4 linked regions of the Arabidopsis thaliana genome follow. The protein of the gene in region 3 interacts with the protein of the main gene of each other region in a pairwise test. Each region holds a gene or a part of one and is shown on either strand. Other genes may lie near its edges.

The links.
Region 1: the proteins of YAB3 (region 3) and MYBR1 interact in binary tests that used the Arabidopsis thaliana proteins (3 or more experiments, as listed by UniProt).
Region 2: the proteins of YAB3 (region 3) and MYB51 interact in a two-hybrid assay, tested with the Arabidopsis thaliana proteins (one study listed by BioGRID).
Region 4: the proteins of YAB3 (region 3) and BIM1 interact in binary tests that used the Arabidopsis thaliana proteins (3 or more experiments, as listed by UniProt).

Annotation. Positions count from the first base shown.
Region 1 is NC_003076.8:26,849,348-26,856,506, forward strand, and holds MYBR1 (myb domain protein r1), read left to right. Parts: upstream 1-4,674; 5' UTR 4,675-4,761; coding exon 4,762-5,679; 3' UTR 5,680-5,965; coding exon of another isoform or gene 5,966-6,571; 3' UTR 6,572-6,659; downstream 6,660-7,159. Other genes in the region: AT5G67290 (FAD-dependent oxidoreductase family protein), read right to left, coding at 1-408; CYP81G1 (cytochrome P450, family 81, subfamily G, polypeptide 1), read right to left, coding at 5,966-6,571, 6,660-7,159. UniProt on the Arabidopsis thaliana protein: Transcription factor. Represses the expression of protein phosphatases 2C in response to abscisic acid (ABA). Confers resistance to abiotic stresses dependent of ABA. In response to auxin, activates the transcription of the auxin-responsive gene IAA19.
Region 2 is NC_003070.9:6,386,292-6,393,159, forward strand, and holds MYB51 (myb domain protein 51), read left to right. Parts: upstream 1-3,107; 5' UTR 3,108-3,473; coding exon 3,474-3,609; intron 3,610-3,723; coding exon 3,724-3,853; intron 3,854-3,942; coding exon 3,943-4,735; 3' UTR 4,736-5,095; downstream 5,096-6,868. Other genes in the region: AT1G18560 (BED zinc finger and hAT dimerization domain-containing protein), read left to right, coding at 1-702, 779-1,714. UniProt on the Arabidopsis thaliana protein: Transcription factor positively regulating indolic glucosinolate biosynthetic pathway genes.
Region 3 is NC_003075.7:71,131-78,984, reverse strand, and holds YAB3 (Plant-specific transcription factor YABBY family protein), read left to right. Parts: upstream 1-3,408; 5' UTR 3,409-3,895; coding exon 3,896-4,009; exon of another isoform or gene 4,010-4,096; coding exon of another isoform or gene 4,097-4,117; coding exon 4,118-4,288; intron 4,289-4,557; coding exon 4,558-4,717; intron 4,718-5,277; coding exon 5,278-5,326; intron 5,327-5,461; coding exon 5,462-5,537; intron 5,538-5,917; coding exon 5,918-5,995; intron 5,996-6,106; coding exon 6,107-6,181; 3' UTR 6,182-6,440; downstream 6,441-7,854. Other genes in the region: AT4G00170 (Plant VAMP (vesicle-associated membrane protein) family protein), read left to right, coding at 6,900-6,951, 7,092-7,165, 7,246-7,327, 7,413-7,528, 7,614-7,775, 7,845-7,854. UniProt on the Arabidopsis thaliana protein: Involved in the abaxial cell fate determination during embryogenesis and organogenesis. Regulates the initiation of embryonic shoot apical meristem (SAM) development.
Region 4 is NC_003076.8:2,603,939-2,613,465, reverse strand, and holds BIM1 (basic helix-loop-helix (bHLH) DNA-binding superfamily protein), read left to right. Parts: upstream 1-3,215; 5' UTR 3,216-3,371; exon of another isoform or gene 3,372-3,551; 5' UTR 3,552-3,894; coding exon 3,895-3,931; intron 3,932-4,062; coding exon 4,063-4,164; intron 4,165-4,580; coding exon 4,581-4,982; intron 4,983-5,083; coding exon 5,084-5,186; intron 5,187-5,270; coding exon 5,271-5,407; intron 5,408-5,492; coding exon 5,493-5,607; intron 5,608-5,704; coding exon 5,705-5,774; intron 5,775-5,871; coding exon 5,872-5,967; intron 5,968-6,078; coding exon 6,079-6,416; intron 6,417-6,517; coding exon 6,518-6,629; intron 6,630-6,721; coding exon 6,722-6,811; 3' UTR 6,812-7,448; downstream 7,449-9,527. UniProt on the Arabidopsis thaliana protein: Positive brassinosteroid-signaling protein. Transcription factor that bind specifically to the DNA sequence 5'-CANNTG-3'(E box). Can bind individually to the promoter as a homodimer or synergistically as a heterodimer with BZR2/BES1.

The sequences.
Region 1 (7,159 bases), on a different chromosome or scaffold from region 3:
GGGTTTTGATTCCGTCACGGTGACGCTAAGAGTCGTGAGTGCTCTGTATCCGTACGATTCGACACCGTTTAGCTCCTCAGCGAGCGATCGATGGAGTTTAAAGCTCGCGCGTGCTAAATGCGCAACAGGACTTCCATCGCACCAATCGAAAGCGAGAAATCCACCGGCTTTACCGGAAGCAGCGCACGCGACGGCTGATTTCTCGACGAGAGTGACGGCGATTCCTTTCTTGGCGAGGAAATAAGCAGTACAGACGCCGATTACTCCACCGCCGCATACAAAGACCCGCTTCGAGGTTTCTTCACCGATTTGTTTTTTAGCCGCCATTGATTTCGATGAGTTGGAGCAGATCGTGATTGTTCGTCGGGTTAACACCGGAGGGAATAATAACGATGAGATCACCGCCATCACCGAGATGAGATAGATGATGACTCACCGAGTCCACACGTTAGTTAGAAATTATTTATTGGGCTTAGTTTCTTTTTGGGCTGATCTTTTGAAGCCCATTTATTGTATAATCTCTACGCTATTGTGTGTTACTGTGTTTCCTATGATATTTAGTAGCTGATAAGTGATAACTGATATTCTCTGTATGAATTTCAATGAATAGTTTTCTGATTCTAGATGTTTTAAGAAGTTGAAAAGGACTTGTTGAAATAAATTATGGGGGAAAAGGACAAATGACCAACTAACAATCAGATAGGCCATTCCAAAATTGGGCTCCACCACTTTGACGACAAAAGCCCATTTATAGGGCGGCTCTACTTCGGCCTTTCATCAACCACACATACACTCCTAATGATTATTATTCAATATATTTTTAGTAGGTACTGTGATGTTGTTAACTTTCAGTTAGATAGACCCGCCGAAACTTTTTCTTATAATATTACATATAATTTCGCTCTGTTTATAATCATTTTATTCCTCTACTTAAACAGAAGCTTCTTTCATTCTTTGTGTTCATTGAACTTGTTTACTATACGGAAAGTTTCTGCAATTCTATAAAAATATATATAAAATAATGAACTGTTTATAGAATTGTACTTACTTTTTTGGTTTTAGTGAAGCAAATTTCTATTTAATCACACATTTACTGCACTCTAAAAAGGTGAAAACCTAAAATGTAATCGTTCACACATTATCTTCATGTTCAAATCCGATGGAATATTTATCGATCCAAGAGTTTCAATTAATAATTTGCAACATAATCTTCTTATGCCTTTCTTATTTAGCAAGTGTGATGGTCGATCCATTGATCATTGTTCATGAAAGTTGATGATGTGGTCGATATTTTCTCCACATGAGAAGTATTGTTTTGAAAAGAATATTTATCATATACTACTATTATTGACAGAAAAAACAGTGTAGAGAGTATTGTTAATATTAATTAAGTCAAAAAAAGCCGGCGGCCAATGTGGGGAAAAAGCTTCACACACTTTCATGTAGTAATCTGTCCTTTTGTTTCTAGCTTTATATTGCCCTCGCTTTTGCCCGTTCATGACTCTTATGATGCTTGGTCGTAAAACGTGATTCCATGCATTATCTTATAGAGTTATAGTATATAGATATTATCAAAATGATCAAGTTTTTAATATCCCAATTCTACATTTGAAATTTTTTAACATTTGATTTACAAAGTTGACGATAAATTTCAGATTTGAAGACGAAATAAAGCAAATCTTTAAATAAGTTTTTTTGGAAATATCATATGATATCAGAATTCTAAAAAATCCAACAAATCGGTAAGTTCTAACATATAAGATGAAATAGTACTTGGTAGGTACAAAAATTAAACGTTTTGATTCCACACATACAAAAAGAAGAAGAAAAGAGTAACTTTTTATTTGTCGTCCAACAAAGAATCGCTTTTCAATCAAGCTTTAGTGAAGGTGTTAGGTGTGTGTGGCTTAAGCATATACATCAGAAGACCAACAAAATTTATCTTAAGCACGAAGGTCACCGAACGTAGTCGTTTCAACGATGACCGTACCATTAATGCAGATTTGTAGTGCGTGTGGATATATACATGCACACGTGTGGAAGGTGAAGGTACAAAATGTGCATACGGCTTAAGGATAAGCGAGAACACGGAAGGATATTTTGTAGCAGCATCTTTCTATTCTATGCAACTAAGTAAACGAACCACATGCACCTGTTTTCTTTAATTTATTGCCTTTGTGATTTTTTTTGTTGACACCATTATGTTTTTTTTTTGTTTGTAAACCATATAATTAAGTAGTTTCCCTAAACCGTTAACAATTAATACATTCTATAATGTCGAATAAAAAGAAAAGGTAATGCAAGTGGAAGAATATCTAAACACGTTAGTAGACCAATAGCAAAATTACAGTTGCTAGCTTACACGACAGGAGGAACAAGACAAGAGTAGTTTTGCCTTTGTTAAGAATAATTAGCATGACACGTCACTCAAACTTACACGTGGAAGGATAATTCATGGACACGTGGACATACTGGAAAACAGCTGTTAAATCTTTGTCCGGTTATCGTAAGTTTTTGAATTTTAAAACTGTATTTAGCCGAATTAGGTCATGTTCCACGTGCCTTTTTTTCTGCACCACTATCTCTTTTCCACAAGAGGGGCAATGATTTTTTGGTCCAAAAATATACAGTTGTAATCTTGGACGGTGTGTCTTAAATAAAATAATATATGGACGGTGTTTTCTTTAATGTTTTCTATGTTCATATGAACTTCTCGGTGGTCGTTTCAATCACAAAATTTATCATACCAGAAAACAAAATATTTTCAATAATTGAGGCTGTACGTTGTGTATTTTAGGTTTTTTCTTTAGATTGTTGCATGTTATATTTTCAGTTTACTATATGTTGTGATGATTATTCGTTACAAATGTTTTCAAAATGTCATACTATAGTAGTCATTTATAATAGATATGAAAAATGATCACAGTTGATTTGTTTTTTTGGTGGACTACGAATAAAATCGTTTTGGTAATTGTCTAATCTTCGAGTGAGTAAGACACCGTCAATCAACCATCAATATCATCAATCAAAACCATTATTGATCTATTTTTTGGTTTAAGGAAAAGTTGGTAATTGTAAAACGACTTCAATAAAATATTTAAAACAAGGAGACCAAAACCGACACTCGGACCATTGATAATAGAAACAACGAGCAAGGTTATAGTAGTATAGTTGAGTCTCACAAACGAACACGTAAACCCAATATAATAACTACGCAAGGTTACATCTAGAGCTTATTGTTCCCATCACAATAACCTCTTGGCATTATTAATTATCAAATTCACTCAAAGTATTAAACTCCTGATGTCTAATAGATTATCAACAAATCGACAAAAATGTAGATATATAACTCAAAAGGTATAAATTCAAATGTTTGGTGGGGTTACGTAAAAACTTGAATTATTAAGAACTAACAATACTATAGTTTAATTAAAAGGAGAATTATGAACCGTTAGAGGGAAGGTTAGGGAGCGTGCATGAACATTACCTGACGTTTACCGACCTGATTCGTACCGTACATACCAGAACAAAGAGCTTTTAAAAACCCGCGTTTTACGACCGACACGTGGCAGTTCTTAAATGGATGACAGTTAGTGTTTTATTAATTGTTTTTGTTTGATTAACAAGTTTTATACAGCCTGGCTGTTTCTATTCGTATTTTCGATATAATAATTAAATATATTTCAGGAAACAAAGGCAGTGATGATTTTGCGTTCCAATTCGGCAACCTATGTTGTCGTTTTCTGCCACGTCAAAACCTCCTATCTTTTGTTAACCGCACATTTTACATCACGTTTCCTAAACCGAACATTAATATCTAACCATTTTTATACATTCACTTAATATCGCTCACACGGTTCTTTGTCAATCCCATTTTAATCCAGCTTCGTTTCAAATTATTGAGGTTTAGATCTTTTTATGATCATAGAGCAACTATATATAGATTTAGTATTGTCAATTTGTCATGCACTGTTATATGCATGAATTAGGTGTTTGTGTGTTGTTTAGTAATTAATTATACCTTCTTAGTGACAATTTGTTTTCTTTATTAGTAATGAAATTTGTGGTCAATAATTTTGATTAGTTTTCAACCCGGAAAATCGGTTATATGTAAAGTAGATATTATCATAAAGTTTTTATGTGAAGTGCTATACAGCCTGGCTTCGCTATTCTAAAGTCAAGACTAAACATAAAAATAAATAAAAACTGTCCTTACCCAAACCTAACCGTTATCATCTTTTTATTTTTTTCTTCAGATATTTCTTTTTCATTTTTATTTCCCCTATAAAAAAATTTAAATTCACCTCAAATTGTGCGAATATTATCATGGCTTTGCTAGTTGGGTTTCGTGATTTTGTCTCTTTAACTTCTTACTTTCGCCACGCGCTTAAATGGCGCGTGTACTCACAAACTCATACTTTGAGACTCGACTGATCTCCACGCTCAACTATACGAAATTGCTGATCTTGAACAAAATTATTACGAAAACGACAAAAAAGACACATCGACGTAGTCAGGCTTCGACGCGTGTCCACTTACAGCTGTACCGCAAACTTTGAAAAACCGCTTGCGTGGAAGAAGCGTTGCCCATGACTTCTCCACCGTCTTAACCGGTTTCCGGTTATCCTCCTCTCTTAAATCTCTGTATAAATAATTTTGTCCTCTCTTTAGTTTCTCGAACTTGTTTTTGGTTCATCTCTCAAAACCAAAATCACTAAAGAGGAGAAGATTGCTAAAGTTTGATAAAACATTCCAAAATCAATGGCTGATAGGATCAAAGGTCCATGGAGTCCTGAAGAAGACGAGCAGCTTCGTAGGCTTGTTGTTAAATACGGTCCAAGAAACTGGACAGTGATTAGCAAATCTATTCCCGGTAGATCGGGGAAATCGTGTCGTTTACGGTGGTGCAACCAGCTTTCGCCGCAAGTTGAGCATCGGCCGTTTTCGGCTGAGGAAGACGAGACGATCGCACGTGCTCACGCTCAGTTCGGTAATAAATGGGCGACGATTGCTCGTCTTCTCAACGGTCGTACGGACAACGCCGTGAAGAATCACTGGAACTCGACGCTCAAGAGGAAATGCGGCGGTTACGACCATCGGGGTTACGATGGTTCGGAGGATCATCGGCCGGTTAAGAGATCGGTGAGTGCGGGATCTCCACCTGTTGTTACTGGGCTTTACATGAGCCCAGGAAGCCCAACTGGATCTGATGTCAGTGATTCAAGTACTATCCCGATATTACCTTCCGTTGAGCTTTTCAAGCCTGTGCCTAGACCTGGTGCTGTTGTGCTACCGCTTCCTATCGAAACGTCGTCTTCTTCCGATGATCCACCGACTTCGTTAAGCTTGTCACTTCCTGGTGCCGACGTAAGCGAGGAGTCAAACCGTAGCCACGAGTCAACGAATATCAACAACACCACTTCGAGCCGCCACAACCACAACAATACGGTGTCGTTTATGCCGTTTAGTGGTGGGTTTAGAGGTGCGATTGAGGAAATGGGGAAGTCTTTTCCCGGTAACGGAGGCGAGTTTATGGCGGTGGTGCAAGAGATGATTAAGGCGGAAGTGAGGAGTTACATGACGGAGATGCAACGGAACAATGGTGGCGGATTCGTCGGAGGATTCATTGATAATGGCATGATTCCGATGAGTCAAATTGGAGTTGGGAGAATCGAGTAGACAAAGTGAGATTATTAGGAAACTGTTTAAATTGGAGAAGAAGAAAAATGCTCTGTTTTTTTCTCCTTTGGATTAGGCTTAAGAATTTTGGGTTTTAAGGAAATGTATAGAGGAAATCGAGTGAACAAAGCTCGAGAGCTGGGGACGTAGTGACGAAGACGAAGATCAAATTTCTCTTAAGCTATTCAGGAAAATAAAATAAATTTTTATTTATAACTACGCTTAATGATGATAATAGATCAAATTAATACACAAAGTATCACAAAGTGAAAGATAAATGATCCAGTTAAAGAACAAGTTTGTCGAGGATTGGTAAAGACTTGCATTTGGCAACTAAAGGCACAGATTTGGGCATGGTAAGACCCTTTCCTTCCGACATGTCAACGGCAACGTCATTGTCTCTCTCCCAATCGAAACACTGGATCAATGAGCCTAAAGCTAAGCTCAGTACTAGTTGGGCCAGGCCCATACCAGGACATGCTCTCCTACCGATTCCGAAAGGCAGAAACTTACCACGATGGGTCTCTGATTCAAACCTCTCTGGTTTGAAAGTTTCTGGGTCATCCCATACATTTGGGTCTCTCTGAATAGCCCACGCATTGATAAATAGCCAGGTGCGACGTGGAATGTCAAATCCAGCGACTTCACAGTCAGTGGATGAAGCGTGTGGGACAAGTAAGGGCGCCGCCGGAAACAAACGAAGAGTCTCAGAGATCACATTGTTGAGATAGGGACACTTGCCAGTATCTGATTCCTCAAACACACGCCCTTCTTTCGAAACCTCGTTTAGTTCCGTTTTGAGTTTCCTTAAAACTTCCGGATGATTTAGAAGGTTAGCCATAGCCCACTCCAACGTCACTGCGGTTGTGTCCGTTCCAGCAAGCAACATCACCTGCAATGAATCCTTTGAATCTTTGATGAATCAATCTTGATCACTCCTATTAACGATTCAAAATTATAGGAATTAAAAACTCATGTACCTGTACGAGCCCTTTGATGATATCATCAGTGTAACATTCAGGTTCTGATTCTTGAAGAGACAGCAAACGAGTGATCATCGTTTTCTCAAGCTCTGCTTTTCCTCTGTTTTTCCGATGCTCGTCGACTAATTTCTGCATAAACTTGTCCAATTTCGAAGCGAGTTTCTTTGCTCTCTTTCTGTATCCATCAAGATCAAAGAGCTTCAGAGTCGGGAGAAAATCTCCGACATAATTAACACCAGCGAAATCGAACACCTCCCTAATCAGCTTCCGAACTTCCTTAGTTTCCTCGTCTTCCTCTCGTTTTCCAGCGACCATGCTCATTAGGATGTTATACGTAAGCCCATAAAGAAACGGCTGGAGTTTCAATCTGACACTGCCTCCTGATGTTACCAGTTCCACGTTGATCTTCCGAATCATAGCTCTCACTTCGTCTCTCCGTATATCCGAAAAGTCTCTGAGACGAGCGGTGGACAAGATATCTACGGCGCAGAAACGGC
Region 2 (6,868 bases), on a different chromosome or scaffold from region 3:
GCTTTGTCATCACTTCCTCCCTCTACTGTAGACGAAACATGGTTGGGAAACTCCTTCAAATTTCTTAAGCCATCCATCCAGTTATGGCCGGCTGAAAAATATAAAGCCATACTTGATGAGGTTTTCACAAGTATGCGGGGAGATGTGAAGACAACCTTGGAGCATATCCAGTCCAAAGTTTCTGTCACTTTAAGTTTCTGGAATTCATATGAAAACATTTTTTATATGAGCGTAACGGGTCAATGGATAGATGAAAATTGGTCGTCTCATAGGTTGCTGCTCGACATATGTCGGATTCCTTATCCCTCTGGGGGTTCTGAGATTTATAACTCCCTTTTGAAAGTCCTTAAGACATATGCCATTGAAGACAGGATTCTATGTTGTACACATGACAACAGCGAAAACGCTATTCACGCTTGTCATAGCCTGAAGGAGTACTTTGATGGTCAAAAGGTCTTACCTTTCTGCTACATTCCCTGTGCCGCTCAAACTCTGAATGATATTATTGATGAGGGGTTAGCAACTATAAAGCCCATTATCTCTAAGGTTAGAGAATTCACACAAGAGTTAAACGCGTCCACAGAGCTATCTGATGATTTCATTCAGTTGACAACAGCTTATCAAGAAGGCAACTGGAAACTACCCATCGATGCTTCATCTCGTTGGAGTGGCAATTACCAGATGGTCAACATCTTGTGCAAGGTAAGATGTCTATAACTTTGACCTGTAAGCCATCAAGCTCTGAGATATTTATATGTGATGGCTTATATTGCTGCAGGCTAGCAAGTCCTTGGACTCGGTGATTAGGAAAAACGAGGATGCTCTAGAGAACAGAATGATGTTGAGTTCTGTAGAGAAGAACGCGGTGACTATTGTCCACAATTACTTGGATTTGGATTCATTTCACAAGACCACTAACGATATGTGCACGAACAAGGATCTCACGGTTGGTCTAGCACTGCTCTTCATGGATAACATATCCGAGATGATCACAACTTGCCAGAAATCATGCCACAACCCAGACTGGCTAAGAACTTGTGCTGAGAGCATGGCCCAGAAGGCCAGAAGTTACAACACTCAAGTGTGCAACGTATTCACTTACATTACAGCCATTCTTGACCCGCGGATCAAAACAGAGTACATTCCAGAGACGATTAATCTCGAGAGCTATATAGATGAAGCAAGAAGTCATTTCATTCGTAACTATTCTTCCTCTCATTTCACATCTTCAATGACTAGCGGGTATCGTCCTCAGGAGGTAGATGAAGGAGGAGGAAATATCTCATTTGCAGAGGAAATCGCTAGAAGGAAAAGAAGAGGAAGTATGAGTAACAATGTTGTTGATGAACTGACTCAGTACTTATCAGAGTCTATAGTTCCAATGCAGACTGATGTGCTTGATTGGTGGAAGGTAAACAGTGGAAGATACCCGCGACTTTCCAACATGGCTCGGGATTTCCTTGCGGTTCAGGCGACTTCTGCTGCACCGGAAGAGATCTTTTGTGGTAAAGGAGAAGAGATTGATAAGCAGAAGTATTGCATGCCTCATGATAGCACACAATCTGTTATTTGTATCAGATCATGGATTGAAGCTGGTATGAAACTGAAGTACAAGTGTAGTGAGATTGACTATGAACGACTAATGGAGTTAGCTGCCACCGTGGCCGCTGATAATTCTGCCGGAGGTTTAGAAAAAATTCAACAACATAGGTGAGATTATTTTTTAGTATTTGTACTAAAGAACTACTGTAATTTAGTTGTCATACTTTTAGCATGAATCATTGAATTTAGAGTTGGGTTGATGTAAACCAAGCTGGTTAGCTTTCTTCATAACCGTATGTACTTTCATATCATATTAGAGAGAAAAAAAAACACAATGTTGACTAATTAATGGGTTCTGTCTAACTAGAAAAGTGGAAATTAGTTGTACGAAAAAAGAAAATAGCTTATCTCTTTCTTTGTACCTTAGATTTTTCCTTGGTATAATGGATATCGATATGTCCAAGTCCAGTGTTTGAGTGACCAAGTTGTTGCTTTAATTTAATCTAGTTCAAATACGACTACTTTTGTGTTGTACCTCTCTACCTTACCTTCCTCGAATTTTCAATTCGTGTGCTAGTTTGCCAATTGTTTCTTTATAATTTTGTCGTCTCTATGATTGTTTAAGCATATTTAAATATTTGAGAGAAAAAAATACTAAGAGTTCAGTCGTATTTTGAAAAGTCCTCGCACTCCAAGTTTTAAAGTTGAATTCATTCTGTCATGGAAACGTACCTTTGTGGTTTTTCATTTCGATAGACATTTTTTAACTCTTCTGATAAATTCAAAATGTTTTTTTACATTGGTTAAAATTTGTTGCCAATTTCAATAAAGCTTTTTTTTTACTCGTTATAAAATTAAAAACTTGCTGAGAAATTATAGTTTCATATATACTTTGGACCGACGGTCAATACCAAAAAACTAAAATAAAATTTTGGTCAAGAATCGGGTCAATACAAAATATCTCCAAAGATCGAAGAGAAAGTTCAACAGGATTTTAATTTAATTGGTGTTCCGGACCTGCCGGCGCCGTATTATAATTCTTCAATAAATTTTATATTTTGGATTGCATAATCAAAACTATTTGCATAGCAGACATAGATTTCAAAATAAATTGATACGTAATTAGCTATTTACATAGGCAAGACAATTTTACGTTACATATTTTGCATGCTTGATATTCATTCTTTTTTTTTAGCAACCTTTGCTATATTCATTCTATTTTTTCCCCTTTTTTTGCTACTATCAATATCATATCAGATGTGGCGGTTCTTATGCATGGGATTATGAAAAATGATATTATATAATAGATGTCTTCGTAGTATTTTTTTATTGACAATCAAAATAAAATAAATTAGTTTAAGAAAGATCAAAAGTCTAGTGTCAAAATGTCCACTGACAAAAGTTAGCAGTTTTTCTTTTATGTAATAATCCGATTATAAAAAATTGCGTTAAGGAATCATAATGAGCCATGTGTCAGTCATATTTAAACGACGACGTTGGCAGCAGCCACACGTACAGCCTCAGGCAAGCATAAATAGAGATGGGCTCTTTCCTATAAGTTTCCCACTTTGCAAAGTGTAACACAAACAGTTCTCTTTAGAGAAAAAAAGATTCTCTCTATAAAACCTTCTCTTTGTGTCTCTCTTTGTGGTAAGAAAACAGAGCAACTAGATCTCTCTTCTCCTCTGCTCGTTCAATGTTATAACGATCTCGAGTATCACAAAAGAACAAGATGTCTATTCGAAGAATCTACCGATGTCTGAATTCTTTAATCAAAAGATCTTGTGCTCAATCTCTATGATCATACGCCCCATTTCACACTTTGTTTCACCTCTCAGTTTTTTTTTTTGTGTTTTTTTGTCCCTCTTTGTTTCACTTGAGAACAACCCCCTTTGAACTCGATCAAGAAAGCTAAGTTTGAAGAATCAAGAATGGTGCGGACACCGTGTTGCAAAGCTGAACTAGGGTTAAAGAAAGGAGCTTGGACTCCCGAGGAAGATCAGAAGCTTCTCTCTTACCTTAACCGCCACGGTGAAGGTGGATGGCGAACTCTCCCCGAAAAAGCTGGTATGTATTATTTTTTATTATGTTTATTCCGTCATGTTTGAATATTCAATGTTGGACCTTTATTGGTCATTATTGCTCAATTATTTTACTTAAATAATTCTTCTAATTGGATAGGACTCAAGAGATGCGGCAAAAGCTGCAGACTGAGATGGGCCAATTATCTTAGACCTGACATCAAAAGAGGAGAGTTCACTGAAGACGAAGAACGTTCAATCATCTCTCTTCACGCCCTTCACGGCAACAAGTTAGTCTCTCTACCTCTACATTTTATACTTATTTTTTGTTTGCATTAACATTTACTAATATTGTAATCTTATATGTGGTTTTAATCAGATGGTCTGCTATAGCTCGTGGACTACCAGGAAGAACCGATAACGAGATCAAGAACTACTGGAACACTCATATCAAAAAACGTTTGATCAAGAAAGGTATTGATCCAGTTACACACAAGGGCATAACCTCCGGTACCGACAAATCAGAAAACCTCCCGGAGAAACAAAATGTTAATCTGACAACTAGTGACCATGATCTTGATAATGACAAGGCGAAGAAGAACAACAAGAATTTTGGATTATCATCGGCTAGTTTCTTGAACAAAGTAGCTAATAGGTTCGGAAAGAGAATCAATCAGAGTGTTCTGTCTGAGATTATCGGAAGTGGAGGCCCACTTGCTTCTACTAGTCACACTACTAATACTACAACTACAAGTGTTTCCGTTGACTCTGAATCAGTTAAGTCAACGAGTTCTTCCTTCGCACCAACCTCGAATCTTCTCTGCCATGGGACCGTTGCAACAACACCAGTTTCATCGAACTTTGACGTTGATGGTAACGTTAATCTGACGTGTTCTTCGTCCACGTTCTCTGATTCCTCCGTTAACAATCCTCTAATGTACTGCGATAATTTCGTTGGTAATAACAACGTTGATGATGAGGATACTATCGGGTTCTCCACATTTCTGAATGATGAAGATTTCATGATGTTGGAGGAGTCTTGTGTTGAAAACACTGCGTTCATGAAAGAACTTACGAGGTTTCTTCACGAGGATGAAAACGACGTCGTTGATGTGACGCCGGTCTATGAACGTCAAGACTTGTTTGACGAAATTGATAACTATTTTGGATGAGTGAAACTCATAATCGATGAATCCCACGTGACCATGTCAATATGATGTCTATGGATATGTTACCTTGATGATGTTGATGGTAATAATAATAAATAATGATGGTGATGATGACCATGCATGAATCATGAATGTAGTTCGTGTTGTCACATATGCTTGTGTTTTTGTGTTTTTTTTTTTTGGTCTGAAGTGTGTTGTTTCGTTGTAAATGGATTATAAATGGTGATGTAATAATTATAATGTTAACGAGTTGTTAACTTTAGTACTTTTATTGTGTTGGTTATCAGAATTTGTATCCATCCGAATATGAGATTGCTTTATTTTGAAAAATCATTCATTAGCTGCTGCTGCTGCTAACTACTAGTACCATTGCTATTTTAAATTTTAATTGGCAGTATTCCACTATTAGGTCATCTTCATCTGTAAGATACTTTAAAAGGTTTTAAAATAAAATAAAAAATTACTGTAATTTAATTTTGTAATTATTTTTTTTTAAAAAAAATATTCAATTATAAGCAAACACTTATAGAAATAGTCTTTCACTGATTATTCCAAAATTTCTCAAGAAACGTTTCTTCATTTTTTGTCATTCTCTCTCCTCATTTATTAATTATTTATATTATCTTTATCAAAAGAAACTCTAAAAATTGTATGGATGGAGATGCTCTGGTTTATTTTATGAGTTAGGGCTAATAGATTGAGCAGATTGGTAAAGAAATATATCCTCAACCAGTTTTGTATATTAAAAAAAAAACCAACGATTAACTTATTTTGTGACTTAAATCTTTCATTCTCTAATGTATATAAAATTCACCCTATCAACATACGAATAATATTCAGCAATGAGACCCACATAAATTTAAAGCAAGCGAGAGGATCATTCTTTGAATGTTCCGAGGGTTAAAGATAAGAAGAAGTTGATACCAAAAAAAAAAAAAGGATAAGAAAAAGTGCATTATGATCCCTAACCTTTCGAAAGCACCATGAAGAAAACAAAAGCAAAAGCTGATTTGTGATTTGTTTCAATATTTTAATATTTCAAAAAAAGGGTGAATGAATTAATTTGCTTTTCAAAGATAGTGTTTTCTCTATATAAATAAAGTGATTAGAAAATAAAAATTATATTTCCAGGGACAGCCTATATCTTATTATCATGTCTGATTTAAAACTATAGGTAATGAAAAAAATATTACATCGTTGGCTTTTTGCCCAATTGTTGGTTTGTAAAAATAACAATTGTAATACCCGTATGAAAAATGAAAATTTTCTGAATATTTGGACTTCTGATCTTTTGGTGATTGTTAGAATTTAATTATCATACGTAGTTACAAAGAGTGGTAGTTAATTTCTGAATATATATTTACAATTTTCTTTTACCATCTATAAATTATATACACGTATATTATATTGAAATTCAGATTACAATACGCTAACAATGTTTGAATAAATCAATACTTCAATTCTATTTTTCTGCGTGAGGATGCCTACTAAGATAAAAGACATTTTGATGTTTATAGTCCAATATCATGATTTGAGCGTTGACGTATTCCCACGATACTATACATTTGTATTTCAGGTACGGTAATTAATTTGATCGTTTGTTTATTCAAGTTTATCTTCAGTAAAGTAACCCTTTTGGGAATAAGTGGGGGATTCCATGGATTCCATGGTATATTGCCATATTGGAGTCTTGGATTTACCCGAAAATTTTCGTGTTGACATTTTTGGAGATGCTACTTATTAGATTCTCCCATCTGTTCATCAACACTGTTAGCGCCGTCTTATCAGATTTTGTGTACGTGAGACGTGTTATGGAGATTCATCTAGATGACTAGATGTACATGTTGACAGGAACGAACGATTCTTACTTTTGGTCTTTTTGAACTCTTCAGATATATGTAAGTCGCTCGTTCTGCTAGGTGAAACATGAAAATTTAATCATTTTGATGGAAAATTGCTTTCAAAAACGAATATAAAGTAATTCATACACATTAATTTTTGTTATTCCACTCGCGAGGGTTGCTTCCACGAATCAATGAAAGATAAATCTATCGAATAAGTTGTTGTTTTCTAACAAATTATATAAACAAGTTGCAAGTATTTTATGATCATGTACACTATGCAATCAACCGGGCC
Region 3 (7,854 bases):
AAAGCAAAAAAAGTGTCTATATCTCTAATTTCTAAAAAATTTATCTACTTTACAAATTATTTTTGAAAAAGTGTCTATTTTCCCAATAATATCTAAGATATATTATAAAGATACTAACTCTCCTTTTAGATGGAAGATTAGAGAAGACTTGGTATCGTGAAACTTGACTCGTGAAAGTGCTTAGTTAGAACATCCATCAATTGATCTTGAATATGTAACTAGAAAATATCCAAGATATTGAAGTTTCAAGAATCAACTTTTCTCCATGTCACAAGGAATTAGACGACTGAAGCTGCCCCACCTGTTAGCAAGATGTATATATAGTAAACCTAATAAGATATTCACCTTCGTGGTGTGCTCAATATATGTATGGTGGTGACTATGTTTTTTTCTTCAGTTTAGTGTAATAGATTATTGTTTTGTCGGGAAAAGAAACTAATTAGCAATTAATATATATTGAATAAAATGAACAAGTTAGAAATATGTTATTCCATCCACTATGTAAAGTAGTTCTGGTTTGTTAGAGGTCTTGAAAAGATGTGATGTCAAGTGAAATGCAAAACGGTGGCATGGCGAAGATAAGTGGCTAGAAACGGGAATGTTAATGAAACTAAAGAGAGACATATACACGTGCATATATACACTCAGATGTTGATTGTTTTCCAAGGTGTTTGTGTGAGAAATGACATCTCTCTCTCTCACCCATTCAGGCGGTGGAAAAATTCAATAACACTTTTAAAAAAGATTTTTGTTCAATAGGTTTTGACCTGAAAATACTTAGAACAAAAAATAACACAAGAGGGAAAGTGCCGTAAAAGTAAAAAAAGAAAAAAAAAAAGAGAGAGATCATGTCGCTGACATACTATACATGCCTAGCTAGCTCGGTACATTTATATATAATGTTTGTGTGTAAGGTAGATTGAGATATATGAATGGTCAAATCGGAAATAAAACAGTATATGTTCTTAAATAAGCTTCTCCTTTGTTCAACTTTTTTGCTTTCATTTCCGTTACATGATTTCGCGATTAATTACTTTTTATAATTAGTCAACTTCGACGCCTTGTGTCGTCCTCGATTTTAATGTTCTGTCTTTCTCTGCATTCATAGTTTATCTTATTTCATTTCATATCCTTACTTCTTTTTTCTACAAACAATAATTTCTAGACGAATTGAAACAAATTTCCAAAACTTTATGAGTATATATAGGATATTTTTAGTGGCAAAGGACGACTTAAATTGTAACGAAAAGAATTTGAACTTTTTTCCATTAGTCCCTACGATGAATATTTCATCCTATAGAACATCATATGAATTGATTACTTAATGAAGTTAAATTTTTGAAAACTCTATTAGGGACAATGTCCCACATCGGAAGTTGAGTAGGATCTTAAGTGGTATATATAAGATATGAGCCTCTCCACCTATTGCCAATTAGTTTTACGTTGGAAGCCCACAGTCTGATATGGTATCAGACCCCGATCCGCACATACTCAACCCGATCCACATCGGTCCGGCCCAATACTTGGCCCGCCGATCCATGCCCAAACATATCGAGATCAATGGCTAGAAGAACCATCATCTCGAGGGGGCGTATTAGGGATAATATCCCACATCGGAAGTTGAATAAGATCTTAAGTGGTATATATAAGATATGGGCCTCTTCACCTATTGCCAATTGGTTTTAGGTTGGAAACCCACACTCTAATATGGTATCAGAGCCTGATCCGCACATACTCAACCCGATCCACATCGGTCCGGCCCAATACTTGGCCCGCCGATCCATGCCCAAACATATCGAGATCAATGGCTAGAAGAACCATCATCTCGAGGGGGCGTATTAGGGACAATGTCCCACATCGAAAGTTGAGTAGGATCTTAAGTGATATATATAAGATATGAGCCTTTCCATCTATTGCCAATTGGTTTTATGTTGGAAGCCCACACTCTAATAAACTCAATACAAATACTAAAGTTGCAAACAACTATACTATATTTGCTTGAAGTTCTATTGTGATAGGATTTTGACTTACAAAAATCATATTCTATGTCTACACTATATATTGTGAAACCGGATAGCCATAATATTTACAAAAACTTAAACTAATTTCAGATATAAATAAATTTAAATTTCACTATGACCTAGTAATTATCACGAACAATTGGGAAGTTACCACAAAATGGTGGTCCTGTATTATGGAATTTAGCGAAACCACACACTTGCGGGTAAAAATAATGATGACAAAATGATATACATTGGAATGTAGAGAAAGTATATACAAATACTAATAAATAGAAAAGGGCATGGAATTGACGAGGATCGAGGGAAAGTGTGGTGTGGCAGAAATGTTATTAAGTGTGAAAACAACTGATGAATGAGCCTTTGCTTAATCACTTCCATGCACAAGTCCCTTTCCTCTTCCTCTCTCTCCCACTTCATCGAACTTTGCGTCCTTTAAAGAAAAGAAAAAACAAAACATTTTTCATCCAATTGAATTCAAACCGTAACCAGATTAGATTTAACTTCGTTTATTTTACATTATCTTCTTCTTCTTATTTTGCGGAGAAGACTTGTACAATGACCTCAATACGCTGAAGAGTTGGATTCACTGCGAGTGTATATGTGCATATAGAAACAAAATATCTAGCTATATGACCACTTTTAACTCTAAATATGGGTGTAATATGCCAAGGACTTTCTGGAGATCCACCACAACACACATTCAAGTTCAAGTTCTGCTGCTTTTAGGTCTATGAAAACAACACCAACCTTATTTTCATATTGTTCTCTCTTTATCTCATGCATAAGTATATTTTCATATTGTTCCCTCTTTATTTTCATGCTTTTAGTTGATATTTTTTTTGTTATTGTATTATCATTAGTGCGACGACACAAAGTCACAAACCATGTAACAAAATGCTTAACCAAAATAGAAAACCTTAACAATTCCAATATATTTTCTGTTATTGCATTATCAATTATCATCAAATTTTTTTCCACTGTTGCATTATCATCATTGCGACGACACAAGGTCACAAACCATGTAACAAAATGCATAACCAAAATAGAAAACCTTAACAATTCCAACTTTAACATGTGAATTAATATTATCTTAATTTTTGGATGTTCGACATTCAAATAAACTCCTAATTAAACCCTATAGATATGGTTAATCTTCTATACATGTGTCACGTACGACACTTATTAGCCAAATTGAAGTTTTGTTTTTTCCGCAAATATATAAGCGGTTTAAATAGTTGGTAAAAAAAAAAAAAAGTTAGCATGTTTGTCGTATGTACATGTTTGATGCTGCACAAATCTTGTCGTTATAAAACTTTGAAATCTTTATATCTATTATTCCTCACCGATCGGCTACTAATTCAATGGTACTTGATAATGATAATTAGTCCCAAAGTAGAGTTTTTATCTGATTATATAGAAACAAAGACTAGTTCCGGTTTGATATATAGAAGAAAGAAAAAGGATGGATAGGAATAATAAAGAAGATAAACCGGTTCAAAAGGTAGTAAATGAGAATGCAGGTATGCAGCTTATCTCTACAATGGCCTCTTCATCACATGTCGCCAATTTGTTTAGGTACAGTGTCTCTTCATATTTACATAAATAGATATCTCTCTCTCTCTCTCTCTCTAAACCACATCTTCCTCTCCACCGTTCTTTCTCTTCCTTCTCTCTCTGGACTTCAACTTCTGGAGAAGTACAAGACATTTATAAAGTACTGCTCATCACCCAACACTAAACACAATTGTCAAAAGGGTGTGGTGGAAGGAGAATCTACTTCTATCTGAACATCGATCAGTCATATCTTTTCAATCAAATCAAAGCCCTCCTCTCTCTCTTACTCCTTTTTTGTTTTAAATCAAGAAAAAGACTCCATGTCGAGCATGTCCATGTCGTCCTCCTCAGCTCCAGCTTTTCCACCGGACCACTTCTCATCTACGGACCAGCTCTGTTACGTCCATTGCAGCTTCTGCGACACTGTCCTTGCTGTAAATTTTGGATTATTCTTATATCTCATCTCAATATTTCAAATTTATAACTCTAGCTAGGGTTTCACATGAATTACTAGTTAATTAATGTGTGATATTAATTGGCAGGTGAGTGTTCCTCCGAGTAGTTTGTTCAAGACGGTGACGGTCAGATGCGGCCACTGTTCGAACCTTTTGTCGGTGACCGTGAGCATGAGAGCTCTTCTTCTTCCATCCGTTTCCAACCTTGGCCATTCCTTTTTACCTCCCCCTCCTCCTCCTCCTCCTCCAAATCTTTTGGTACATCGGTTTCATTCATCGAAACAAATTAGGGTTCTTTCATAAAAAAAACAGAGAGTAATAATTAGGGCTTTTCTTCTCGAGAAACGCAAAATTGTGAAACTCAATCCAAAAATGTTTAATTTTGTTAGCATCCCGGGATAGATCTAAGTAGTTTGGCAATGGCTAGTTAACTAGGGTTTCTTTCGAAAACATCATATCAAAGTAGTTTGGTTTGATTAGTGTTTTAAGTTTTTTTTGCCAATTAGTTTGCTGATTTCATTTATTAGGAGGAAATGCGAAGCGGAGGGCAGAATATAAACATGAACATGATGATGAGCCATCACGCTTCAGCTCACCACCCGAACGAGCATTTGGTTATGGCGACTCGCAACGGAAGATCAGTGGATCATCTACAAGAGATGCCTCGGCCACCACCAGCCAATAGACGTAACCTTCCATCTTCTACTCTTTATTTCAACATCTTCATATATATATATATAAGAAAACAAAAACCCTAATTCACAAAACCTTATCCATTCATTTCTTCAACCTTTTATATATACACTCCAAAGAATCTCGTTTGTTTATAATGAATTTATAAGTTTTGATTTCATTTTTGTTCCCTCGGTATGTGACTTCTCGCATGCACTTTTTTTTTGGTCAGAAAACAATTTCGACAACAAAAGGAAAATTAATAAGTGATGTGTTTATCCCCCGGAAATCTAGCTAAACCTATAGATGCCAACTGATATAGTTTTGGGGGTAGATCGTAAGAAAGATAATGATGAAGTGATGATGATAACGAGCAAAGTGAGAGGGAGAGGGAGAGAGAGAAAGGAGGAAGAGTCGAAGAGTGATTGTTTTTTTTTTTTTAATTGTTTTTTTTTGGTGAATTTTTAGATTTTTTGGGGAGGCACAATAAAAACCAATAATGTTTTTTTTAACAAAAGGGTTTGATTTGGAATTAAAATTGAATATGTTCTGTTTGTTTGTTTGTGGAAAAGCAGCCCCAGAGAAGCGACAAAGAGTACCATCTGCATACAACCGATTCATCAAGTAATAAGTTTATTCCTTTGCTTAAAATGGCATAATTAAATTTCCCTAATTAACCATTTTACTCATATAATTAAGGGTCGATAGATGTGACAGATTTGATTTCATTATATGATATAAAAATAAAAATGTTGACAGAGAGGAGATCCAACGTATAAAGGCAGGCAACCCTGATATCAGCCACAGAGAAGCCTTCAGTGCTGCTGCCAAAAACGTACCATTTCTTTTTTTAATATATAAAACTAATTTTCTATATTGCATTATATCCATAATCATACAATCTCATTTTAGTCTTTATGAATTGAACCTAGCTAGATTATTGTGGAGCTACATTGATACTCACATTGCTTTAAATTAAAAACATAAAACAAAATAGTTACCGTAATAATCCATAATTCATAAGCTTTATCCAGCATACATTAGCTAGGACTAGCCTTAGGATCTACGATCTAGGGTTTCAGTAAAGTTCCCTAGCAGATATTTTAGTCTGGCTTTGTATTCGTATATTTTTGACCAAGTTTTTATGTTATGTATAAGATAAATACACATTAATGTTAAAAGAGCTAAGTATATGATGTAATATGTATGAAACAGTGGGCTCATTTCCCTCACATACACTTTGGACTCATGGCTGACCATCCTCCCACGAAGAAGGCTAACGTGCGCCAACAGGTTACTTACTACTACTACACTATATTTATTTATTCAAATGTATATAATCAGGAGCATGCATGCATTGATCATCAAAACATAATCGAGATATTTTATTTTGGTGTAATGAAGGAAGGAGAGGATGGGATGATGGGAAGAGAAGGGTTTTACGGTTCAGCTGCCAACGTTGGGGTGGCCCATAACTAGCTACGAAGACTTTCCCAATCTTTTGTAATCTTCAAAATGTGGTTACTTTCAGCTCAAACTTAACTTTCTTATTACTATTTTATGATATTTGATAATCGATCAGGAGACCTTTTTTTTTTTTCTTAAAGAAATTTTCGGAACTACTAGAATTTTCTCTTGGAATTGAAAATATATTGTTTTCTCAGTTGCCGTGTTATATATTTAATATCAAAAGCATGCAGTAGCTAAGCTAGCTAGGCTTTACCATACGTTAATGATACTGTCTTTTTCTCTTTACAATTCCATATTCGAATTTGATTTGTATATAACATATTGGGAAGAATCATCAATATGTATTCAGCTCAAAAGAATTCAACAAAAAAAAATGCCTATTATCAATAAAAATTCACTGGGCTTTAGAAGGCCCACAATAGTATAATGGATCCTTTTTGTTGGGCTTATTTCAGTCAGGGAACAATAGCCTTGATTTTGTTGGGCTAACCGCTAACGCATTAAAAAAATCACGGTCAATCGGTGATCGTCAAATCTAGTTACGTGGCATTTAATATTTAAAACTACAAAATTTACCAGTCTTGGCTCAAAAAAATATTTATTCACTTTTCTTCTTCTCTGACCAAAATCAAAATTTGTTCGATTCTCATTCTTCTTCTCACAGTCGTAAACCCTAAAAAAAAAACAGAGAAATCAAATTTCAATCTCGAAGGATCTACAAAGAAGCATGACGACCGGAGATCTCGTTAATATCCATCCTACTGAGCTTAAATTCCCCTGTAAGTTTTTTTTTTCCGATTGATTTGATCCCTCTCGGATTCATTTCACCTTTTTTACGTTTTCGATTCTCCGAATTGAACCGTCGTTGTTTGTTTGGGTAACCTCTGTTATAATTTGTGTTGTTGTTGGTGGTGAGAAGTTGAGTTGAAGAAACAAAGTTCGTGTTCGATGCAATTGACCAACAAGACAACTACTCAATGTGTCGCTTTTAAGGTCTTTTACATTCTCTTCTTACAATTCTGTCTTATTAGTACACATTGAGAGAGTGTTGATGTTAATTGAGAGACACACAGGTTAAAACAACCAATCCTCGCAAATACTGTGTTCGTCCTAACACTGGTGTTGTCTTGCCCGGTGATTCCTGCAATGTTACAGGTTCTTAAAACCATTTCTTCTTTCATTCAAAAGCTTTGGTTTTTTTTAGTCAACAACACAAAAGATGATTGTTGTTTTGTTTCAGTGACGATGCAAGCCCAGAAAGAGGCACCACTTGATATGCAATGCAAAGACAAGTTCCTTGTTCAGACTGTTGTTGTCTCTGATGGTACTACTTCCAAAGAAGTCCTCGCTGAAATGGTTTGCACACTATATGCTTTTTTAAAGGAACTCTCTTGCTTTAGCTTCTTCTTCTTCTTATTATGAATTGGTTTCTTTGTTGCAGTTCAACAAGGAGGCTGGTAGAGTGATTGAGGATTTCAAACTGCGAGTTGTTTACATTCCTGCTAATCCTCCTTCACCTGTCCCTGAAGGTTCTGAAGAAGGCAACTCTCCTATGGCTTCCCTCAACGATATTGCCTCTCAATCTGCCTCACTCTTTGATGACGTGAGATGATGATTCATTTTGTTATCCAATGTTAAGAAACCGAGTGTAATATGCATCTTCTTATTTCAGGTGTCAAGAA
Region 4 (9,527 bases), on a different chromosome or scaffold from region 3:
AACAAAAAGATTACACCAGAAACCAGCATCATGAACACTTTTTTTTTTTTTGTATATTTATCATAGATCATAGATGGTACATAAAAACTGCAACATTCAGAAATTATTTTTTATTTTATTTTTGTTTTGTTTTGTTTGTCATCATAACTCATTTCCAGTACAAGAATTAAATTAGTTGCACGTTGAAAAAAAGAGTTAAAAAACAATATATAGATCAGTGATCTGGTTCAGTGCATTTAATGGTTAGAATTTCTCTTTTTTCATATCAAAATTATACGGTCCGTTATTTTCAAAGTACATAGTTTTTGTTCTTGTTTTCCCCTTTGCTAACAAAGCATTTTAACAGCTTTTGTTTTAAGATAGCTTTTATATCTATAATTAGCAAATTAATTTATATTTTGAATAAAAAATAGTGAAAACGGGATAGCGTAAAAAAGAAACGTGGGACCCGCAATAATCGAGAGGTGTGAGTTGGCCACGTGATGGATGGGGGAGGCTGTGAGGTAGGCAGCCAAAAATACCCCAAAAGGTTTCGTTATCACGTGATACGGCGCGATTTACGCGGCGCAACTGCCACGTGTCCTCTTAGATCCAAAGTCTCGTACGTAGCCTTCTCCTTGGTTAAAAACTTCATATTTAATTTCAATGTATCATAATTAGTTGTTTAATCTCGTGTTTTAACCCTAAGTCACATGATATCTAGATAGATAAACTATTTGTTAACTGATCCCTAAGAGGATTCCTGTGCAAATGTACAGAGGAATGTCCGCATTACAAATACATTTGTTTTTCTTCAAGTCCAGCTTCTTATTCTTCTTTTCTAATTGCTTTATGATTATTTAATCTGTTACTATACTATTAAGAAAATAACAATGATTAGAGACAACTAATAGTCCTCTTTATAAGGAAAAAAGAAGTAAAGAAGACAGCTAATTCAGATGAGATGCTCTCCCACACACTCTTTTGTGTATGCATAAAGTTTCTGTAATTAATGTTTTATTTAAAAACACTTTAACAACAAAATAAATAAATTAAGGGTTTATATTTTTTTAATTAAACTTCTGAAAAGAGAATGTTTGATAAACTGTAATTCTGTAAGAAATCAACGTAGAGAGCATTGATATCTAACATTAAAACCAAAAAAAAAAAAATGTCATTGATATATAGTTATATACTTATATGCAAAGAGATGTTTAATATTGTTCACCCTTAAAATATTATCAAATCTTGATATTAAAACAGTTGTTAGCGTGTGCATGAACCTGGTGAGTAGTTGTGATGAGATCTCGCATTGATTTACTTCAAATTGGATTAAATATGTAAAAATATGTTTAAGAAATCTTGTGACTCCGCGAATGATTTTCTCCTATACATTATTCTAATTAATTCCATGGATATGTTTTATAATATGCGTAGGAAATTAAAGAAAATATGTTTTGTATTATATAAGTTATTTTGATCTTAATCTTTTGAAGTTGAAACCTACTTGATATGCTTCTTCTTATTTTGTTAACTAACTCAAGTTGAATGATTATTTATTGATTGAATTACGTAAGACGGGAAGAACATGATGTGCCCAACCGAACCACGAATGGTTAAGGATAGGTCGGTTTGTGGCATATCAATAAACAGTTTATGAGACTGAATGGAAACCTTCTTTCTTCGATCGACTAAAACCCTTAGCCTTCCAAGTTTCTAGTCAAGAAGTATTGTTACTAAATTGCCCTTGATGTTAATGTTTTCGAAAATCTATTTATGTTTCTACAGTGTTTCTCTCACGTGAGTTGCAGAGTCAGTTCACGTGGTCCCACTACATCATGAAAACGACGTCACACTAACCTCTTATTCGCCTTTCACTTGAATTGACCATTTCGTTTTTATTTACTTTCCTTGATTTCTTTCTTTCTTCTCATCTAAACGTGTAAAAATCTTAACAATTCCATTTGCTTTTTTGTTTTTGATTTTAATGTATCTAACCAATTACTTGTGCTCTAGAGAAACCGAATCTCGAATAACAATAATACATTTCATCAAAGAACCACGAGATTGCGAGTGATTTTAAATCAATATAATACAATTCATGGGGTTAATATAAAATACAGAGAATAAAGCGTGTTTAAGCACAACCTAACAACTCACGAGACAAAGTGGAAGGCATGTGGGGATGTGTAATTGTTTTTGCTCTTTCCCTATTTTGTACAATTTTTCACTTCATGTGATCCAACACTATTTAGCTATAGTTCCTTTCTCACTATCATCTCCATCTCTGTTTTCAATTTATTATTTCTATCTTCAGATTAAACTCATGACTACTGGAAAGATGTAGTACTCAGAAACTAACTAGATTGTAAGCATTAGGGGAGGGCAATAAATATTACTCGTAAGTAAATTTAATTCTTAACTACTGAAAATCTTAAGTAATTTAATCAAGTATATACGTACTTGCAAAAACTTGAAAGCCATAACTATTTTCGCTTGAATACAAATGGACTAAAGATATTTTATCATTTTATTTTTGGTTTTAAGAGATGACTTTTTTCGAATATATAATTCAAATTATATACAGTACTAGACATATGTTAGTTTAGTAAATGCTAACAAGACTTTTAAAATAAGTACTGTAATTTGTAAGTCGTCTATTTGGTTTACTTATAAGTTAGTGATTTTGTAACAAGTGGCATTCAACTAAATATAAAAATGCGCTTAGCTCACATGATCAGGTTCTTAACTATGGGTTTTAGACAATTTGTTAAAGGCGGAAGAGCTGTCTTTGTTCCACCTAATGTCACATACATTACATATATCTCCACTCACACAAATACATAGACGCATACACGTACGAACAAAATCATACTTGTCCCCCTATATTCCATCATCTATAGCAGAATTTCTACTACTAAATTTACTATTAAATTGGTAATTGTTTGCAGCCAAGCCTAGCTATCAATTAGTAGTACGTATCTTTGTCAAACTTACCAATTACCTTCCAATTTACCAATTAAACAAGTCGTCTAGTTATGCGCATTCAGTACACACGAACATAGACCACGTAATACAGTGGTCTGATTACATTATTTACATGGAGGTTTTTATAAGCATGATTTTCTAAACGGAGACACAAAATCTTCTTTATTTTATTTTTCCTTTTCGCACTGTTCATTTAGGTTTGGTGGTATTAGGCTATAGAAGAATGTACGATGACTTGAATATCAGATACATGAGATTCTTAATTAATCATACATATCTTACCATTTTAATTAGTTAACTGATTTCCTTTTGATTGCATTTACTTCGACGCATGATAGTAGTCGGCGTAATTTCAACAGTACCTTGACACGCCAAAAGCTTCACGTAATTTGCTGTCGAAGAAGGTACGCTTCTTAGCTCAAATCTAATCCATTCGTGTTCTTTAGAGATTTGACTTGGATTCTAGTTTTTGTATCTCCATGTTCATTGGTTGACTTGAATTATGCGAAATTGAGTTGGTTTGAGCTATGAATTCCGCTGAATTATGGTTATTCTCTTGAATTTCTACCCAATTCTGATGACAGATCTATCGATTCCACGAATTTGGTGACTTCTGCCGATTCTCCCGTTTGAATTCTGTGGAATTCGCTGAGAAAAGTTGCGGCGGAGGCTGATTTAGGTTAAATCGAGCAGAATTTGACCAAATTCGAGGATTTTTATCGGTAAAAAGATACAGAGAAAGCATAATTCAGCAACTTCAGAGCTCAATTCCGCTTCTTCAACCATCGAAAACCACAATATCTCTTGAATCAGCTGCTACAAGTCGCAGATCTGAGCTGCTAGCCAATTTTTGCGATAATTCCCGCGCACAGATTAGTAATAGAATAATTTAAAAAGAATTCAAAAACCGTCGAAGCTCTGTCGTTCATGGAGCTTCCTCAACCTCGTCCCTTCAAAACCCAAGGTAAACACCATTATCAGATATTATTGTTACCAATTCCTTTATTTTATTTTAAAACAGAGTGTTTAGTTTCTACAAGATTCATAATTTTAAATTTATGTATTTTTTTGAATTTTGATATATATATTAAGAAGAATTTCGCACAGGGAGAAAACCAACACATGATTTTTTATCGCTCTGCAGTCATTCAACCGTCCACCCAGATCCAAAGCCAACACCACCACCTTCTTCTCAAGGTATTTTTTTTTACCATTTTACCCTTTTTTCTTCTTTAAGATTCTCTTAAAAGGGGTCACGTTTTTTTCGCGCGTGCATCTGATCTGACTTTAAGACGAATCATGGATCAAAATGTTGCTATTTTGTTGGGTCCTAATGGGCCCATCTGTGTTTAAAGCCCATGGAATTTTGGGACCGTTTTTTTCTTTCTTTTTCGTCTACACATGTCGTTAAACCTTGCCTTCGATTAAATAAATATCTTTCAACCCTCATGATGTTGATCCCTAGAATTGCATCACATAAATAACAAAATGTTGTTAATTACTATAAGCGTTTAAATGCATACAACTTGATGTATAAGAAAATGTGTATTATCTAGGGATTTACTTCTCTAACATATAGTTTATGTTTTTAATTTTGATGGTACGTGAAGCAGGTAGTCACTTGAAAACCCATGATTTTCTTCAACCGTTAGAATGTGTTGGTGCTAAAGAAGACGTAAGTAGGATTAACTCTACCACTACAGCGTCCGAGAAGCCACCGCCCCCTGCTCCACCTCCACCGTTGCAGCACGTGCTTCCCGGTGGTATAGGGACTTATACGATTAGCCCCATTCCTTACTTCCATCATCATCATCAGAGAATTCCTAAGCCGGAGTTGTCACCACCAATGATGTTCAATGCTAATGAGAGAAACGTTTTGGATGAGAATTCTAACTCTAATTGCAGCTCGTACGCCGCTGCATCAAGCGGGTTCACTCTGTGGGATGAATCTGCTTCTGGGAAGAAGGGACAGACAAGGAAGGAGAATAGTGTTGGGGAGAGAGTAAACATGAGAGGTAACAAGAAAACTTGAATCGTGATGTTTATTTAGACTAGTTTTAAAGTAGTATTTAGAAATCAATGGAATGATGAAATATAAGTTTTTTTGAATGTGTAGCTGATGTTGCAGCAACTGTGGGACAATGGCCAGTGGCGGAGAGACGGTCCCAGTCTTTGACAAACAACCATATGAGCGGTTTCAGTTCTCTCTCTTCCTCTCAGTTAGTCTCATATCTTCTCTTTTTTATATAACTCGGTCTATGGACTTTAAAGAGTGATCAACTAAAGTTTTACTTTGGTTGCAGAGGGTCTGTGCTTAAGAGCCAGAGCTTCATGGACATGATAAGGTCAGCAAAAGGAAGTTCACAGGAAGATGATTTAGATGATGAAGAAGATTTTATCATGAAGAAAGAAAGCTCCTCGACTAGCCAGAGCCATAGAGGTTTGTATTGTCCGAGATTCCACCTATATGATATCTAAAGTCTAAACAGTAACAGCTTAGGATCTGATTGATTGCTTCTTTACAGTGGATTTGAGGGTAAAAGCAGATGTGAGAGGCTCTCCTAACGATCAAAAGCTGAACACACCTAGGTCTAAACATTCTGCTACAGAGCAACGGAGAAGGAGCAAGATCAATGATAGGTAAGTCCTGAATATGTAGCAAAAGCCACCAGAATTGGTTATATAGCTTAGCAGAGTGGAGATACTAATCAAACATTGTTAATGGATCCCTCTGCAGATTTCAGATGTTGAGACAACTAATACCTAACAGCGACCAAAAGCGGGATAAGGCCTCCTTCTTACTAGAGGTATAACTATACTCTTTTGGCCGAAAATTTTGTGACAGTAAGATTCAATCACATCTGCTCCTAATCTCCAATTTTTTTTTTTGACAACTTCATACAGGTTATCGAGTATATTCAATTCTTACAAGAGAAAGCAGACAAGTATGTGACCTCTTACCAAGGATGGAATCACGAACCTGCGAAGCTATTGAATTGGGTAAATATAATCTCACATTTTCCGACCATACTTCATTTTTATTCCCCGGGTTGGAAACTGAAAACAAACAAACCATGTAATGTTAACCCGTGTGATCCATTTACATTATAGCAGAGTAACAACAACCAACAGCTAGTACCTGAAGGAGTTGCTTTTGCTCCAAAATTGGAAGAAGAGAAAAACAACATTCCGGTTTCGGTCCTTGCAACTGCACAAGGTGTTGTTATTGATCATCCAACAACCGCGACGACCTCTCCATTTCCATTGTCGATTCAAAGCAACAGTTTTTTCTCTCCTGTGATTGCGGGTAATCCCGTACCCCAGTTCCACGCAAGAGTCGCATCATCAGAGGCTGTAGAGCCAAGTCCGAGTTCCCGGAGTCAAAAAGAAGAAGAAGATGAGGAAGTTCTTGAGGGTAACATCAGAATTTCAAGTGTTTACTCACAAGGGTAAAACTAAAAAACTCTCTTTTGAATTTTGATCTTGCAACAGTTAAGTAAAAGTAAAAAATTATTAACCTTTTATACATTTACTTTTGTGTGTGGAGCAGATTAGTGAAAACACTGAGAGAAGCATTGGAGAATTCAGGAGTGGACTTAACGAAAGCAAGCATCTCCGTTGAAATCGAGCTCGCTAAACAATCCTCGTCTTCTTCCTTCAAGGTATCTTTTTCTTTACTTACGTTTGATTCAATTCAAACACATTTTCATGAGTTGGATCTTGATAGTTTATAGTTTTGTTCACATCTCGATAGGATCATGAAGTTCGTGAACCGGTTTCTCGAACCAGAAACGACAATGTCAAGCAAACTCGGAAACCAAAACGGCTCAAGACGGGACAGTAGAAGTTATAAAAACAAAACCCAAACACACAATCCGGTAAAAGTTAAACACCAAAATTGATTCCTCTGTTTTTTTCTTTAAATCATTTTATCTCAAAAAGGGATTATAATTTATTATTATAGTTATATCTTTGATTTTTTTCTTTTGTACATCCGAAATCCTGTTATATATATCTCGTGGGTCCATAATCGTATGAGACCTAAGAAGACTAGGGCGACCCGGTTATGCTAACCGCATTTTAGAACATACTCTTTTGAGGAATATATCGTTAAGGAAGGCTTTCAAAGTTTTCTGGAAGCGTCCAGTGTTAAGTGAAAACATTTTTCACTCTCTTATATACTTGATCATCTCACACTTTTTATATTTGTTTCTTCCTCTTACTTTGTTCTATGGTTTTCAATGTAATACTAGATATCTTTTATGTATTTGACTAAACCAAAGCGCATGAACGATTTTGAAAAAGAAAAAGAGAAACACACTTAATTATAATGCCAATCAAAAGCCTGTATGACCCAACTCTCTAGGACAAAGTCTGGAGCACGGCAAAAAGATTAAATCAAGTGTACTTTAGCAACAAGAGCTATCTTGTACTATTATTTATGCAATGTTGTTAGCAAAATAATCAAATGTTATGTGGGGTATTATAAGATATGCCATTGAAAAATATATCAACTAGCATTTAATTACTTTTATTTAAAATGATGAAAATCATATCTTCTATATATTCAACTTCAATACTTGATTTTCCAAACTATTGAAGTAAACGAGATCCCATATATAATGGGATAAAACAACAAACATCAATTACGTTCTTTTAACCATAATTTATATCCATAAACAACAAACCGCCTGTATTTCCTCGGACACGAAGAGGATTTGACACGGGAAGCTTCGTCTTCTCCCTCCTCGTCGTCGCCTCCAAAACTCAGGAGTTTCTTCTTCAGAGACGCGGTGGTAGCATCTTTTACCGTGGAGTTTCGTCGCCGTCGTTGTCTTTATCAATTATGATCTTTCTCGAACTAGAGCTTTTACAGTTAGGGTTTGAAACTTTGACTGGAATTAGAGCAAACTTTGGTCGTGATTGTAGTATTTTTTTAGTTTGGAATGTTGTTTATTATACTAGATATTAATCTGCAGTATACCGCGGACCTATATTTTTATTAAATAAAAAATAATTGAATAATTTTTAGGATGATTTAATAAATTTATGTTATTGTTTGATTTAAATGTATAATTCACCGCGAGACGAAATTTTATAACTCAAATTTTAAAGTTTTAAATTATATTTGTTTATTTTGTTAAATGTTTAATATTGTATAATTGTATATTGATTGTTGTTTCTCAGATTTCACCCGTAGTACACCATCCCATATTAATATCGAATCAAACCCGTCAATTCTAGGATTTCACCCGTGGTAGTATTTAATTGTATAATTATATTTTAATTGTCATCGTAGGATTTCACTCCTAATTCTATCGCAAATTATTATCAACCCAAACCAGTCAATTCTAAAATATCACCCGTAGTACACCATCCCATATTAATATCGAATCAAACCCGTCAATTCTAGGATTTCACCCGTGGTAGTATTTAATTGTATAATTATATTTTAATTGTCATTATCAGATTTCACTCCTAATTCTATCGTAAATTATTATCAACCCAAACCAATCAATTCTAAAATATCACCCGTAGTACACCATCCCATATTAATATCGATTCAAACTCGTCAATTATAGGATTTCACTCGTGGTAGTATTTAATTGTATAATTATATTTTGATTGTCATTCTAGGATTTAACTCCTAGTTCTATTGTAAATTCTTATCAACCCAAACAGTCAATTATAAAATTTCACCCGTAGTATAAAGTTTAAATATTTATAATGTTTAAATTTCTTATAAAAGAATCAAAATGTGTTTTAAAAAAATTAAAGTTTTAAGTTTTTTTTTTTTAATATTGTTAATTTTGTTTAGTGTTTAAGATTATATAATTATATTATGATTGTTATTATATGTTTTTTTCCATAGCATACTATCCCATGTTATTATCCACTCAAACCCGTCACACCATATAACCTCGTCCCGTGAAATTAAACACAAATTTGTCATTTTATTATAAATTTCAAATATTTATAAAATTAGAAACTTCAAAAAAGATTAATATTGACCCAAACTTCATCATTGAATTTTGAGTGTTATATCTAAGATTTCTCTCGCAGTATATCGTCCCGTATTAATATTTTTTATATTGTTTAAATTTCTTGTAATATTTAATTTATAATTTTTTAAACTTTTTAAAGTTTCAATTTTTTAAAATAAATAACCCTAGTAAACAAACCATTTTAATTTTGGACACCTCATAAATCAAGTTTCATGCTCATTCGTAATCGAAATCATTTTGGTCCTTTTTATAGTATGGCTCTTGACCATTGTCCAATTTTTTTAAGCGATATGGGACATTCTAAAATCGTAATTATTATCCACCCAAACCCGTCCTACCATATAACCCAGTCCCGTGAAATTAAACATAATTTTGTCATTTTCTTATAAATTTCAATATTATAAAATTTGAAACTTAAAAAAAATACAATATCGACCCAAAATTCATCATTGAATTTTGATTGTTATATTTAAGATTTTTCCTGTAATATATCGTCTCGTATTAATATATTTTTTATATATTTATAATGTTTAAATTTCTTGTAAAATTCAATTT